3 linked regions of the Daphnia pulex genome follow. The main gene of each other region encodes a partner of the protein of the gene in region 2 in a complex. Links are inferred from orthologs where the notes say so. Each region holds a gene or a part of one and is shown on either strand. Other genes may lie near its edges. The genes, in order: NEDD8-conjugating enzyme Ubc12, NEDD8-activating enzyme E1 catalytic subunit-like and NEDD8-activating enzyme E1 regulatory subunit-like.

Region 1 (3,345 bases), on a different chromosome or scaffold from region 2:
CTCCGTTGGACGTTGAAAATTGTGAAATAGATGAATATATCATTTTCAAGCAAGTACTAGAAGAAGTTCAAGGTACTAATCCCGGTTGGTACAACGCTTTGACTGGAGCTCTGACAGGTGATCAGCAAAAAGCCCTAAACGACGTAATTGTTCTTGCTGATCAACGACGCGCAGCCGCTGAAAGTAAGCGGATTGAAGAGGCTGGAGGTAAGAATTTCCTAGATTTGTGTTAATGATAATCATAAGACAATTTTTTTTTTCTCTTTTTTTAAATTCTTCAGGCTACAGTTTCAACCAACAAACGGTTCCCGATTCTTTTAATTTCGGAGGAAATGGGTCTACTTCACCATTTAGCAGATGAATGTTTCTTACTAACGTTATCGTATAATTCCTTATCAATATGGTTCTATTTGATAACATCCGTCACTATCACATTTATTGATAGCTGTGCTTTGACCTTTTTTCATCAATGCCTGGTTTTCTTATTGAATCTGTCTGATTAGGTTAAATTGCCCATTTGTTTTGTTTTTTTGGTTGCCTTTTTTTTGGAGGGGAATTTTTGTGTTGTGCATTTAGGCTTTGCTTGGGAAGGTTAATCTAACTGCTGATAATGCGCTCTTTGTAGGAAGTAGGAACACTGAATAGTTCGATACTTTCTATTCTCATCAGTAGCAAAGCCTAGTCATCCATTCCCTTCCTCCTTCTGCTTGAACCGTGTATCGTTCCGTATATCGAGTAAAGAACGGTGATGGATATTCAAGAAAAAATTACAGCTGAATGATGAAACTTAATAAAAAACTAATGATGGAACGCAAAACACGCGGATGTTTATTTTTTCTGCACATGAAAATTTCCATGTTAAAAATCGTTTGAAATCAAAGTTGAAAAGAGCCATTCGTTTTTTGTTGTATCTGATTCGGATGTTATTTCAAGCATCGTTCGAAATAAACCTGTTTTCCCCAATTAGGTTCAAAACAAGATTGTGTTATTTTTAAATATGATTTCAAAGTAATTTAGCTTACCGAACCAACATATCCCCCTCGCATGGATTTTTGGACGTTTGTTTCGAATAATCGCCGGTTTGTTTGAAGTACTTCTGCAGCTTCTTTATTCAATGGATCTTCTGGATTGGGTTCCTTGAAAATCACACAAGAACAGTGAAATAAAATAACCAACATACATCAATTCTAGGGAATTTAGGACTACTAATAACAAGATGGATTTCAATGAACTGAGAAAAAGAGCTCACCAGGAAAAGGTACTGCAGACCATAAATTATGGAGTTGATTGTTAATACTGGCTTCCAGTCTTCTCGTAGAATGTTAAGACACACATTACCTTCAAGGTCAATGTTCGGGTGATACACCTGTGTCTCACACTTCACTTTGGGTGGTTCATGAGGATAACCAGGACCAACTTTGAAACTAAAAGAAAATTTCCCTCCTCTGTAAAAACCCTGTAACAGAATAATTATAAAAAAGTTTTATAAATCAAATAAATATTTTGCATTTCATAATACGTAATACCTCATCTGGAGAAATGATTAATTTGAAGTTCAGCAAGTCATCTTGGTCAGGAAATTCCATTTGACAAGTCTTGGGTAGATTTAACTCATTAATATCTACGAGACATTATAACAAATATTAAAATAAATGGAACACGGGTCACAAGGTCAGAACTTGTTTTTAGTCAATAGACCTTTGGTGATACGCAGCTGGGCAGCGGATGCTTTCTTTTGATTTCCTGCCCGACCTGGAACTTCATCTTTCTTTTGTTGTTTAAGAGAAAAAAGCTTAATCATGATGTCGGCTCCACAAATACGAGATCTACAAATTTGGGAAAACTTAACAGGGGTTTCCTTCTTATATTTACAGAGGAACCAGTCTAGATTTTATTTGGCCCAATACAGAACAGATGGGAAATTTTTGCTGATTGAGAGGACTAAACAGCAGACTGTTGGAGAAACGTCAAAAACAATTCCATATAAATTTTTTTATGCTGCCAGAAATCCAATTGATACAACTGATTTTTTTAAATTAAAAATAATATTAAATACTGTTAGGTGTAAATTTAGTTATGAATAGTAATTAACAATTCATTTTTCTAAAGTCAATAGGCCTACCCTATTTTTGAAATGTGAAAACGCTGCACAAAGAGAAATTTCTGCTTGGGAATTCGAGGGTACGAGGGAGTCGATAAACCGACTGTTAGCGTTCAAATTAGACACGTGAATTTTTGTCTCAATAGAAAATAATACTACACTTACACTTTAGAGTGTCATCTTGGTTGAACCTGATAAAAATCATCCAACAACTTCGAAGAAATGAATGGGGCAGTGACTAAGTTTAATGGAGACTCTGAAGCCAATAATTTGAATGCGAAAGAAGAAATAGTAGATTTTAGCGGGAAAGGACTCAAGTTAGATACGGAAGCCGACGGTTTGTTCTGATTTTATGTTTGCTTTATAAATGGGATTAAAGTTCTTTTTATTGGAATTTTTCAACAGCCCAACCTATTGTTAATGCAATTCAGGCTGCAAAAGGTTTGACAGGTCTCATCCTTGAAGGAAACACTCTTGGTGTTGAAGCCGCCAAGGCTATTGCCAAAGCATTAGAATCCAAACCAACCTTCCAGAGAGCACTGTGGAAAGATGCTTTTACTGGCCGGTTGAAAGATGAAATTCCAAAAGCTTTGGTAATTTGATTGTGGTGCATGTGACGATTAACAGTATTAACCACCGTTTATTTAAATAGAGTTTCTTAGGAGGAGGACTCATTTTGGCTAAAGCTAACTTAATTGAGTTAGATTTGAGTGATAATGCATTAGGTCCAGTTGGTATGGAAGGTCTTGTTCAGTTTTTGAAAAGCCCTGTCTGCTATTCTCTAAAATGTATAAGATTAAACAACAATGGCCTTGGAATTTATGGTGGACGGGTAACTAAAATTCCATTTATTTGTAATCATAATACTGCTACCTTTTACTTTAGATGCTTGCCCAAGCTTTAAATGACTGTCTTAAAGCCAGTAAAGAGGCTGGTTCTCCATTGAGTCTGAAAACCTTCATTGTTGGAAGAAATCGACTTGAAAATGAAGGAGCGATTGCTCTGTCAGAATTTTTCAAGGTCACTGTTTTTTTTATTTTCAGTAATTATTTAATTATTTTAATTACAGCATATTTGTTTTTAGGCAGTTGGAACCTTGGAAGAAGTCCAGATGCCTCAAAATTTTATAAGACATCCTGGTATTCTCGCATTGGCCAGTGCGCTTGTTTATAACCCTGGCCTGAAAATTCTTAACTTTAATGATAACACGTTCACCTGGAGAGGATCACAAGCTGTTGCAGAAG
Region 2 (4,313 bases):
CAACCACTACTTTTACTAGGACGGCGTCGTCGGCGTCGGGGCGACTATTAGTAGTACCTTTGAGTGTTTTCTTGAGATTAGGTCTTGTGCGTTCCTCGATGCTGCTAACGTTGGGCAAGTAAAGCGTGCGGTTGCGGCCTTGTTTGTCGGTGGTCGTCACGCCAGGGCTCTTCATCTGGTAGGTCGTCGATAGGTGTTCCATCACCTCGCTGAGTCGTGCGTTCTCGTGGAAGAACAAATCTTTGGGGATCTGAGAGCAGGCCACACAGCTCTCGTTCCTTTCCGCTGCGTACGTGTAGGTGTAAATCCCTGCGGATGTGACGAGCCAAAGGAAGGAAGGAAGGAGAGAAAATAAAAATACAAGAGATTGAGAAGAGCTGACGCAAAAGAAAGAAGAAGGAAAAGTCGAAAAATACCGAAGAAAAGGAAATCGAAAAAGGGGGAAAAAAAAAACCCGTGCCCAAGTGCGTCTGCGATTCGCTGCGATGCAACACACACACACACTTGACTATAAATAACGTCGGCATTCGACTCCTTTGAAAAGAGATGGAGGGTGGAGAAATGGCAGAAAGGAGAGCAGCGAAAATGCAAGGAATTTGTAAAATGTCGCTAACCGTCGGTATCGTTGAAAACCATGTAGTTGTCCAATTTGGGGGCGCAAGTGGAGGCCAGCTTGAAGACTTCCAAGGCACAGGCCGCCGCCACGACGGCATTGGTCGACGCCACAGCCGGAATGATGTGCTTAACAACCCCTTGGGCCAAACGATACGTGACTCCGAGAATTCCTGAAGGGAAACGAGAAAGTCTAGAATCGATCAAGGAACACTACACACTACACACATACACAATAAAAGAAAAATAAACCAAATCTTCTTTTTTTTTTTCTTCTTTTCGTTCTGCCGCCAAAATAAAAGCAAAACCTCATGAAAATTGTAAAAAAATAAAATAACATTTCAAGTAATATAACGCTTGAGCGATTGTGTGTCGTCAAACCCGAAAGAGAGGGGTGGTTGGGGGAGGGGGGATCTATCGAGAGAGACTATATTACATACCGTATTCGCCGGCTCTCTGCAGGGCTTTCTCGTAAATCCAGGAAATCTTGCGACATGGAACACGGGAAAGAAAAAGCAAAAACAAAAAAACGGTGAATAAGAATCGTCAGTTGAGTGGAATACAGAATAAGAAAGGGTAAGCGGGACAGGAGAGGTGGGAGGGAATAGATCTAGCGATGAAATGAAATCACATGATTTGGATCGTCGCCATCGATCGCGACTTCCTCGCCGAATGGATTCTCTTTAGGCCACTGGAGAAGTCGAGCGTATTCGATGCAGTGCTCCGGCAACCGAGGTGTATGGGCTATGGTGCACAGCGGGAAGTTGATCTGTGGGCGTTTGTCGTGAGGGACAAGAAAAAAAAGAAAAAGGGAAATCACTAACCGAAAATGAGAGACAATCATCAAATGGATTCGTAAACAAATGCCATGAAATAAAGAAAAAAAGTGACGACTTTTGAAATGAGTCCAAAAGAAAAGCTATCAAGCGGAGGAGGAGAGTTTAATACTTGAGGTGGGAACAGATCCAAAGTGCACTCGATGCAAGCGTTCATTCCTGGCAATATCACTCGAACGTTGCCTTTGAATCCCTCAGTTCCGCCGTCCACCAACGGCGTAACGCTAGCATAAAAAGAAAAGAGAAGAAAAGCCGTCAAAACGAAATGGTCAGCATGAGAATACATCTGGCACGATATCCCCAGTAAAGACCAAGTCTATTATAGCCCAACCTCCCACAACCCACCCAATGAGATACGATAGTCGTTCAACCTTCCGGCGTTCATGGGGAGAATTCGAATCAAATCCTTGAATGGCCATTCAGTTTGCAGAGACATGACGGCCTAGTAGTAAATACCTAGAAGGGTCAAGTTCTCCATCCTCGTATGTGAGCAGGCTGATGAGCATCCCGTTGATCCAGCGGCGGGCGATAATCGAGTCAAGCCCGCAGACGACAACGTGGAAGCCAGAGTAGAAGTCCTGGTCGTAGTCCTGGATTTTGGCATAGTAACTGTAAGCGGACAAATGTTTGGCCAACCATAGTTAAGGATGACATAATCACAAGCAAGGACTGCAGTTAATCGAGCGAATATAATTTCAATCCGGAGGAAAAACCAAATTAAATGTGGCGACTTCTGGCCGGCAAACTAATTGGCCCCGACTCTCTTCGAAAAAAGATACGTACGCAGTGACGTTGGCCAGTGGGATGCGTTCGTTGATAAAGTTGGCAGCGACTTCAGCTTTCGGTCTGCCAACATCCGAGTGACGGAAAAGGAACTGCCGATTCAAATTAGAAACGTCGATAGTATCCATATCGATTACGTGGATGTTGCGGAAGCCCATTAAAGCTAAATTCTTGAGCAATTCACAGCCCAAGCCACCAGCCCCTACAACGAGAATCTAAAGAAGTAAAAAAAAAAGTTAAATGACACAAATTGTCACGAATAATTTTCTAACATTTGAATTTAGTTTTTTTTTTATTTGATGCACTATTCTCACTGACCTTGCAAGATTCCAACAGAAAATCGAGTGTTTCATTTGAGGCCTGAAAGTCTGGATGAGCCAATGGTCCACCTCGCTCCAAGACTTTTCTCAAGTGGAACCATCTGCCATTCCAGCTAGTGCTACTCATGTTGATCTACTTCCTTGGATGAAATAAAATTATGTGAAATATTGTATTTATAGATTCTTCATATCAAAGGCTAAGCAGACTACTGAAGCTTGTAGGCTATAACCTTCCTTCAACTACATAATTTCCAAGGAAAGAACAAAGTCTAGAAAAAGTAAGAAAGTACGAATCACAGTGAGATCTTACAAGTCTTGGAAGCACTTTACCACTATTTCTTCACTCGTACTTGAAATGTCTCCACTCGAAAATGAATCTTTGTACCTGCTCGATTAATTCGCTAATTATCCTTCGAAAGTATCTTTGAATATTATGAACGAGCAGACGACGGTTAACAATCGCAAATCTCTTCCGCCATCACCTAGTGTCGCTCTCAACAGTTTTCTCCTGCGCGCGCGGGAGTTTCGAGAAGTTCAAATTATAAAATTATAACCGAGGATTCTTTTTTTAAAAGAAGATTAAAAAAAAAACAACCATAGGAGCACCAAAATTATTGACCAAGGAAATTTGACTAACGATGAGGAGAATTAAAGTAAAATAATAAAGTTTACAAGTCGTAAACTTATTCTTATTTATGGAAAAGATTTTTGAATGCTTGTAAACGCAACATAATTGAATTATTTAGTAATTTACTAAAAATCTGTTTTTAAAAATCTATAATTTTTGATAATTTAAGAATTTTATCTGGCAAATTGGCAATGCAAATTGGCAATGCCAACATAGCCAATATGGCAACACCGGCACCCAGGTAGCCATTTTTGTTTGATTCAATAAAATTTTCGAACTCTCAGCAGAAAGTAATTTAAAATTTTCTAGTTACTTTATCCTATTCCTATTACCTGTTACTATTTTTGTGTTTTTAGTTTATTGTTAAAGTGAAAAGGAGAAAGGAACAGTTTTAGAATTTTATCGAATATCAAGCAAAAAAAAAGGAAGGAAAAGTATTAGTATAAATTAAACAAGCAGTTAGTGTTTGGTGCCATCTGTCATACTGTGTATAAGCATACAAAATTGTTTTACCAAAAATATGACATAGTCTAACATGTCAGATGTACAGGTTTGGTATAGTTTTTGTAAGCTTCTCTAAGAAAATTGTACCACGCTGAACCAGGGAAAAATCAATACCACACTCAGGGTCATTGACAAATGTTTTCTTGTATAATTGTGCAGTATTCAATGAAAAAATATGTTTGGAAACATTTTCTTGAATTAGCCTAAAGTAGTAGGCTACATGTTTTGTTTTTTTAAATTTTACCCAAAAATTGTTGAGGAAAATGTAAGGTAGAAGACCTTAGTGATAAGTGATAACTAGCCTTAAATGATGTGTATAACATTTAAGACATTATAACATTTAGTTGTGCACAAATATTTTTTGGGGTGTAAACAACATCATACACAACATGCATTTTCTGAACTTGACATACCTTTTCTTTTTAGGAAGGACACCTTCACCTGCATCTTGTGTCTATATGAGACAACAAGGTGTGATTGTTAAAAGCAACTTGCGTCATTGGTACTCCAAAAAATAAAGACATCGATACTGAGAAATCCACCGAGGAAATATTCCATCTTTACACGGTAGCACATTTCCATTTTTTATGATCATACGTAAAGTAAATTTGTTTACGTATTATATTTTTA
Region 3 (4,507 bases), about 320 kb from region 2:
ATGTACGTGCGTGTTTGTTGGATGCTCCCAACTGTTGGCTCGGCGCTTGCGCCAGCGCACAGGATCCCACGCAGGGGTTGATCTACACGCGTCTTCGTTTTATTCTTTTTTCTCCTTCTTCATCTTCGCGACGACGACCCTTTTTTTTTCTCTTTTCGATCTCTTAATGACTGAATCGGCCGCTCGTTTATCAGGTCGAAAGGATTGCAGAATATGGATTCTCTTGTCTTCCGCTCGTCGACTGACTTAAAAGGATTGCATCGCACCACCCGGCGGCGATGGATGGATGGAAGAAGGATGGATGGCCGGCTGTCTCTAACGATCCTCCCCAACGTTACCACAGGGCTTTTTTCTCTAACGAATAGCAAGAGGCGGTTATTGAAGTTCGGTTATTGAAGAATCATACATCCATTTATTGATAATTTGTAGAGGAGAGCGAAAAAATCGTACATTTTCTTTTCTTGTTTCTTTATTTCGGTTTTTCTGTGGGAGGAAGGAAAGGGTTTTTCTGTTTTTGGATATTTATAAGCGCAGCGTTGCCGTGGTAGTCGTAACCGAGTTGAAAATAAAAGTGTTATCCAACGGGACGTACTGCTTGGTGATGAGTTTGATAACTTCTTGGGCGGCACATCCACCTGTATTTACGGAGGAACAAATTATTAAAGCAAATGATGCAACAAACCAAATCAAAACACGAGTGAAGCACATTTTTATCGTTACAGAAACATGAAACCCCTGGGGCATCAAATAATGCGATTGTTCGCATGGACAGAAATTGGAATGGAGGATTGCTCACCAATAAATGCTGCAACGGCGTGCAACTCGGCTGCACCGTAGCGACACATCTCGTGAAGATTGTCATCCTTTGAAAGACTACCGCCTTGGCAACCAAGATCGTTAAGAAGACGAGAGAAGCAACCCTGTCATTGCGACAGATTTTCAAATTAGGATCAATATTGTCTATTGTCATCGAGTCCATCACATGTTTCTTTACCTTCAATTTAGCTATATCGGTCTCAACATTGTCGTCATAGTAACCGGGATGTGATCCATTTTCCGTGTGGAATTTATTAACAGCTCTTAAAAGAAGGTAGTGCAGCCAGGGGCTATCTGGTTCTTCCAACTGCTGATCTGGAAGTTAGACAACAAGTAGTTTTTTCTTTAATTCAGGAAGGGAATCCGATATATCACTTACTGATGTCGACATCTCCCGGGAGTTGCTTGCCATCCAATTCGGCCGCCAGTGAAGTGCCTCGTATCATTCGTAGTTCAGACGAATGCTTACAAAACAACTTGACGTCATTTTCCATCACCGATTCACTAGACCAGCCTCGCTCCTTCAGTATGAGTTGTACGTGGCGCCACACGTGTTCGGCATCTTTAGCTGCTTGCTCACGATATCTATGGGCATTGTAAAGTGCCAAGTGCCAACGTCATGAGCAGTTATTTTCCATCTTGATTGTAAACTGACTACTTACACATTCTGGAGAGCGATGTAGCGTTGAGAATCGGAAGTCATGTCGGGGAGAGAGCCACGCAGGGGTAGTGCTCCGTTTCCTTCCTTTTCCACAAATTCTTTAACTCCACGTGCCACAATCCAGAAGGGGTTTTTCTCTTTTAGATGAATGCACTGGTCGTCATTCAGGATCTTTTGTACACTGGATGGAATTTGGGTCTTATTTAGAGCTGTGTTAACCGCTTTAATGGCCTCGGCGACGTTTTCCTCGCCGCCAGTGTTAGAGTCCTCTTCTTTGACGATACCGCATCCTAATTCTGTATTGGACTAGTATTTAACTAATGAACAATTTAGAAACAAAACAAAAAAGTCATCAAACCTTTGCTTATGATATCCTTGAGGATTTGTTTTTCTTTGTAATTGGATGGCATATTACTATTGTGCTTTTCCTTCCATATTTCTAAGGCTTTGTACAACAGCATTAAATATGGTGTATGACTGAACTGCTTGTGATCCATTTCAGCTAGCTTGATGGTCTCCATGAACTCTTTCAATCCATCAAATGGTTTATCAAGCCGGAGGTCCTCCAGCAAGTTATCTGGATGTGATTCGATGATGCAATGTTCACTGACTTGAAGCCGGATAGATCCAATAAATCCATAGGATACACAAACTACCAGGGGGACATTGTTCTGCCACAAATTGGTTGACAGAGAATGCAATGACCTGTAAAACATGAGAAAGAAACTTTTAGCTTTGTCATAAACCTGATTACATGATTCACTTACTTTTCAGTAAGGCCAGTGGCTATGACAACTGAGAATGTACAAAAAAAATCTGGATTATTTGACAAAAGTTGATCACATGTTTCTTCTATGTAGTCCCCTTTCACATCTGCATTTAGTTCCATCAGCAACTGGGTTGCCACATGTGCCCGAGGCTTCCCGATTCTGTTGTGATCAAGGAAGAAACTGGGTGAAACAAAAAAGACATTACTGCCAACAGACATGAGATATCTGTAATTCAATTTTTTACTTATTCCCAGCATCCTCCCCAGAAACCAACGCACCGTCGACAATAGTGAAAGAACCGATTCCAGGCAAGACTAGAGACTTCAAAATTTCTGTTCCCGTTGCAGTTGCGTTAATAAGACAGACACTGGCACTCTCCAATGCAGCCTGCCCATGATCTCCCCAAAGCCTATGAAAATTTTGTAAAAAAAAAAATCAGGAAAAAATTTTGTTTTCAAAAAATTTAAATAATGTATTTTACCTCAACTGGCGATCATATTTTTTGCTTTTATCCGAGAGCTGACCCGGTGATTTTGGTGAAGGAGATGCCATGCTTTTGTACAACTTCCGAGAGTGGCTTTTCGTTCACTCAAACGAAAGAAACTTTTTAGATTTGTTGATGCTACTGCTACGCCATCTATCATTCATCTAGCTTCACTACACATCGACCGTAAAGTAACGCCATCTTTTGGACAATCGATAGAACATGAAGTAGAGGGAAAATCTGAAGCTTTCAAAATGTGGAAGAAAAGAAGAGTAAAGCCCCCCGAAAGGTCTAATCAATTGAAGAGTATCGATCGAGTTCCTTAGAAAGAAGCCAACAAGCCTTTATTATTGAACGTCTTGCGCCCAGACGTAGCTACATCACCAGAAAATCCCTTATTCTTGTTCTGTATTGAGTGTACTTTTTCCCAAAATCGCTGCAAGTGCAAAAGAAGCCTTTAGCCGAGAACAATCGATGGCACACGCAAACGGGGTGCCAACTGGTACATTTTCCCCTTCATTTTAAAAATAAGTTCCACAATTTTCTTTATAGACGTAATAGCAATGGAAAAAAAAAGAGCTAGAAAAGATTGAGCCCATCATGGAGGGCGGTGTAACGCCTATGACTACAGTCACAATGTTAACAGGCCATTAAGTTGCAGGCATATGTTAACGTTCGGTGGCAGTCGACTGTAAATAGAAAGAAAAAAAGATAGAAGAGTAGAGGGAGGCGGGGTAGGGTCACGCGGAGAAAGAAGAGGGGGAGTGTGCCTGCCTCTATGGTGTACAAGAGACTTTGATGTCAAAAGGGGGAGGAAGAAGACGATCACGAGGGCGGGGCGGTGTAGTATATAAATTCAACGAGAAGGAACGAACAACCCGAATCGCCATGAATCTAAAAGGGGAAGATAGAAAGAAAAAAAATGCCCAAAATAAAGATCTGGTGCCTTTGAGGGAGTCCTCACTGTTAACTTCTCGTCAACGACTTGTGTTCCTTTGCACGGGACATCAACTTTACAACTGTTTATATGTGACATGGACCGAGTCAGATCATGTTACCGCCGACAGTCCAGAACGACAGGCCTGGGATAAAGTAACAGCTCCGATTTCATTCGATCCTCCTTCGGCCACTGTCCCCCCTTTCGGCCGGTGCATAATCGACCGTCCCGAGATTCTTGCGGGTTTCATGGGGCCATCAAAACCAAGACGTCAAATGGGCGGAGTGATGTCACGCCTCTTTTTCTTCCACATTTCCGTGTGCGACGAATGGACGTGGAAAACAAACTATTTTCAAATTGTTTTGATCTTGTCTTGTGTGTAATATAATAAATCGCCTTGATTACATAATAATTAATGAGAAAAACGAGAGTTTGTAAACCGAACGAAATCAAACGGGGTGGTGAAAGATGATGAAAACAGCATTACCGATATAGTCTACTACAAAAATATGACTAGACACGCAGAAAAGTGGGCGGCGGGGAGGCAAGGGAACAACTGAAACTGTTCAATTGGTTAGAGACAAGAACGGTTAAATAAGATTTCGACGTGACTAAACAGGACTAGATTATACAATAATGAGATCGAAGTGTATAAGAGTATATAATAGAGTACCGAGAGAGAGAGAGAGAGAGATACTGAGAGAACCGATTTGGGGGAAATCGGAACGAGCTTCCTGGTCCCTCTAAATACATACGCACGGTTGAGGAATAAATCAAGCGGATGTGTACACAAACAATCGGGTTCAACAAAAGAGGATTAGAAACCGAGTACGGTGAAC

The links.
Region 1: the proteins of NEDD8-activating enzyme E1 catalytic subunit-like (region 2) and NEDD8-conjugating enzyme Ubc12 are in contact, whole or in part, in a crystal structure (PDB 2NVU), measured with the Homo sapiens proteins. The link is inferred for Daphnia pulex from reciprocal best matches to the Homo sapiens genes UBA3 and UBE2M. Residues at the interface, in NP_003959.3 of Homo sapiens: His53, Pro54, Asp55, Glu61, Ser62, Phe65, Cys70, Gln149, Asn152, Asp153, Thr154, Arg157, Gln158, Phe159, His160, Ile170, Arg173, Trp174, Ser181, Leu182, Leu183, Asn184, Pro192, Ile195, Val196, Pro197, Leu214, Met217, Arg254, Met255; in NP_003960.1 of Homo sapiens: Lys3, Leu4, Phe5, Ser6, Leu7, Lys8, Gln9, Gln10, Lys11, Lys12, Glu15, Lys21, Gly22, Ser23, Ser24, Lys25, Lys26, Ala27, Gln31, Leu32, Gln35, Lys36, Ile38, Asn39, Glu40, Phe51, Ser52, Asp53, Pro54, Asp55.
Region 3: the proteins of NEDD8-activating enzyme E1 catalytic subunit-like (region 2) and NEDD8-activating enzyme E1 regulatory subunit-like are in contact, whole or in part, in a crystal structure (PDB 3DBR), measured with the Homo sapiens proteins. The link is inferred for Daphnia pulex from reciprocal best matches to the Homo sapiens genes UBA3 and NAE1. Residues at the interface, in NP_003959.3 of Homo sapiens: Trp34, Glu35, Gly36, Arg37, Trp38, Asn39, His40, Lys43, Phe44, Glu46, Arg47, Ser48, Gly49, Pro50, Phe51, Thr52, Phe56, Glu83, Lys86, Asn87, Leu90, Ser91, Val106, Ser107, Leu109, Asn110, Arg111, Phe113, Leu114, Arg116; in NP_003896.1 of Homo sapiens: Glu10, Gln11, Lys12, Tyr13, Asp14, Arg15, Gln16, Leu17, Arg18, Leu19, Trp20, Asp22, Glu44, Lys47, Asn48, Leu51, Pro52, Gly67, Glu68, Ala70, Gly71, Asn72, Asn73, Phe74, Phe75, Gln77, Arg78, Ile81, Phe92, Glu95.

What each region holds. Positions count from the first base shown.
Region 1 is NC_060024.1:11,931,468-11,934,812, forward strand, and holds NEDD8-conjugating enzyme Ubc12, read right to left. Parts: upstream 1,977-3,345; 5' UTR 1,802-1,976; coding exon 1,699-1,801; intron 1,622-1,698; coding exon 1,527-1,621; intron 1,457-1,526; coding exon 1,250-1,456; intron 1,137-1,249; coding exon 1,023-1,136; intron 951-1,022; coding exon 924-950; 3' UTR 800-923; downstream 1-799. Other genes in the region: importin-7-like, read left to right, coding at 1-207, 282-361; ran GTPase-activating protein 1-like, read left to right, coding at 2,324-2,438, 2,507-2,694, 2,754-2,933, 2,987-3,121, 3,186-3,345.
Region 2 is NC_060021.1:4,975,989-4,980,301, reverse strand, and holds the start of NEDD8-activating enzyme E1 catalytic subunit-like, read right to left. Parts: upstream 3,055-4,313; 5' UTR 2,937-3,054; exon of another isoform or gene 2,842-2,936; intron 2,821-2,841; exon of another isoform or gene 2,692-2,820; 5' UTR 2,679-2,691; coding exon 2,550-2,678; intron 2,447-2,549; coding exon 2,232-2,446; intron 2,058-2,231; coding exon 1,905-2,057; intron 1,673-1,904; coding exon 1,561-1,672; intron 1,382-1,560; coding exon 1,244-1,381; intron 1,099-1,243; coding exon 1,053-1,098; intron 786-1,052; coding exon 615-785; intron 310-614; coding exon 58-309; intron 1-57. UniProt on the Homo sapiens protein: Catalytic subunit of the dimeric UBA3-NAE1 E1 enzyme. E1 activates NEDD8 by first adenylating its C-terminal glycine residue with ATP, thereafter linking this residue to the side chain of the catalytic cysteine, yielding a NEDD8-UBA3 thioester and free AMP.
Region 3 is NC_060021.1:5,298,439-5,302,945, reverse strand, and holds NEDD8-activating enzyme E1 regulatory subunit-like, read right to left. Parts: upstream 2,886-4,507; 5' UTR 2,800-2,885; coding exon 2,729-2,799; intron 2,657-2,728; coding exon 2,492-2,656; intron 2,428-2,491; coding exon 2,245-2,427; intron 2,183-2,244; coding exon 1,836-2,182; intron 1,774-1,835; coding exon 1,479-1,773; intron 1,402-1,478; coding exon 1,196-1,401; intron 1,132-1,195; coding exon 995-1,131; intron 921-994; coding exon 797-920; intron 636-796; coding exon 523-635; 3' UTR 393-522; downstream 1-392. UniProt on the Homo sapiens protein: Regulatory subunit of the dimeric UBA3-NAE1 E1 enzyme. E1 activates NEDD8 by first adenylating its C-terminal glycine residue with ATP, thereafter linking this residue to the side chain of the catalytic cysteine, yielding a NEDD8-UBA3 thioester and free AMP.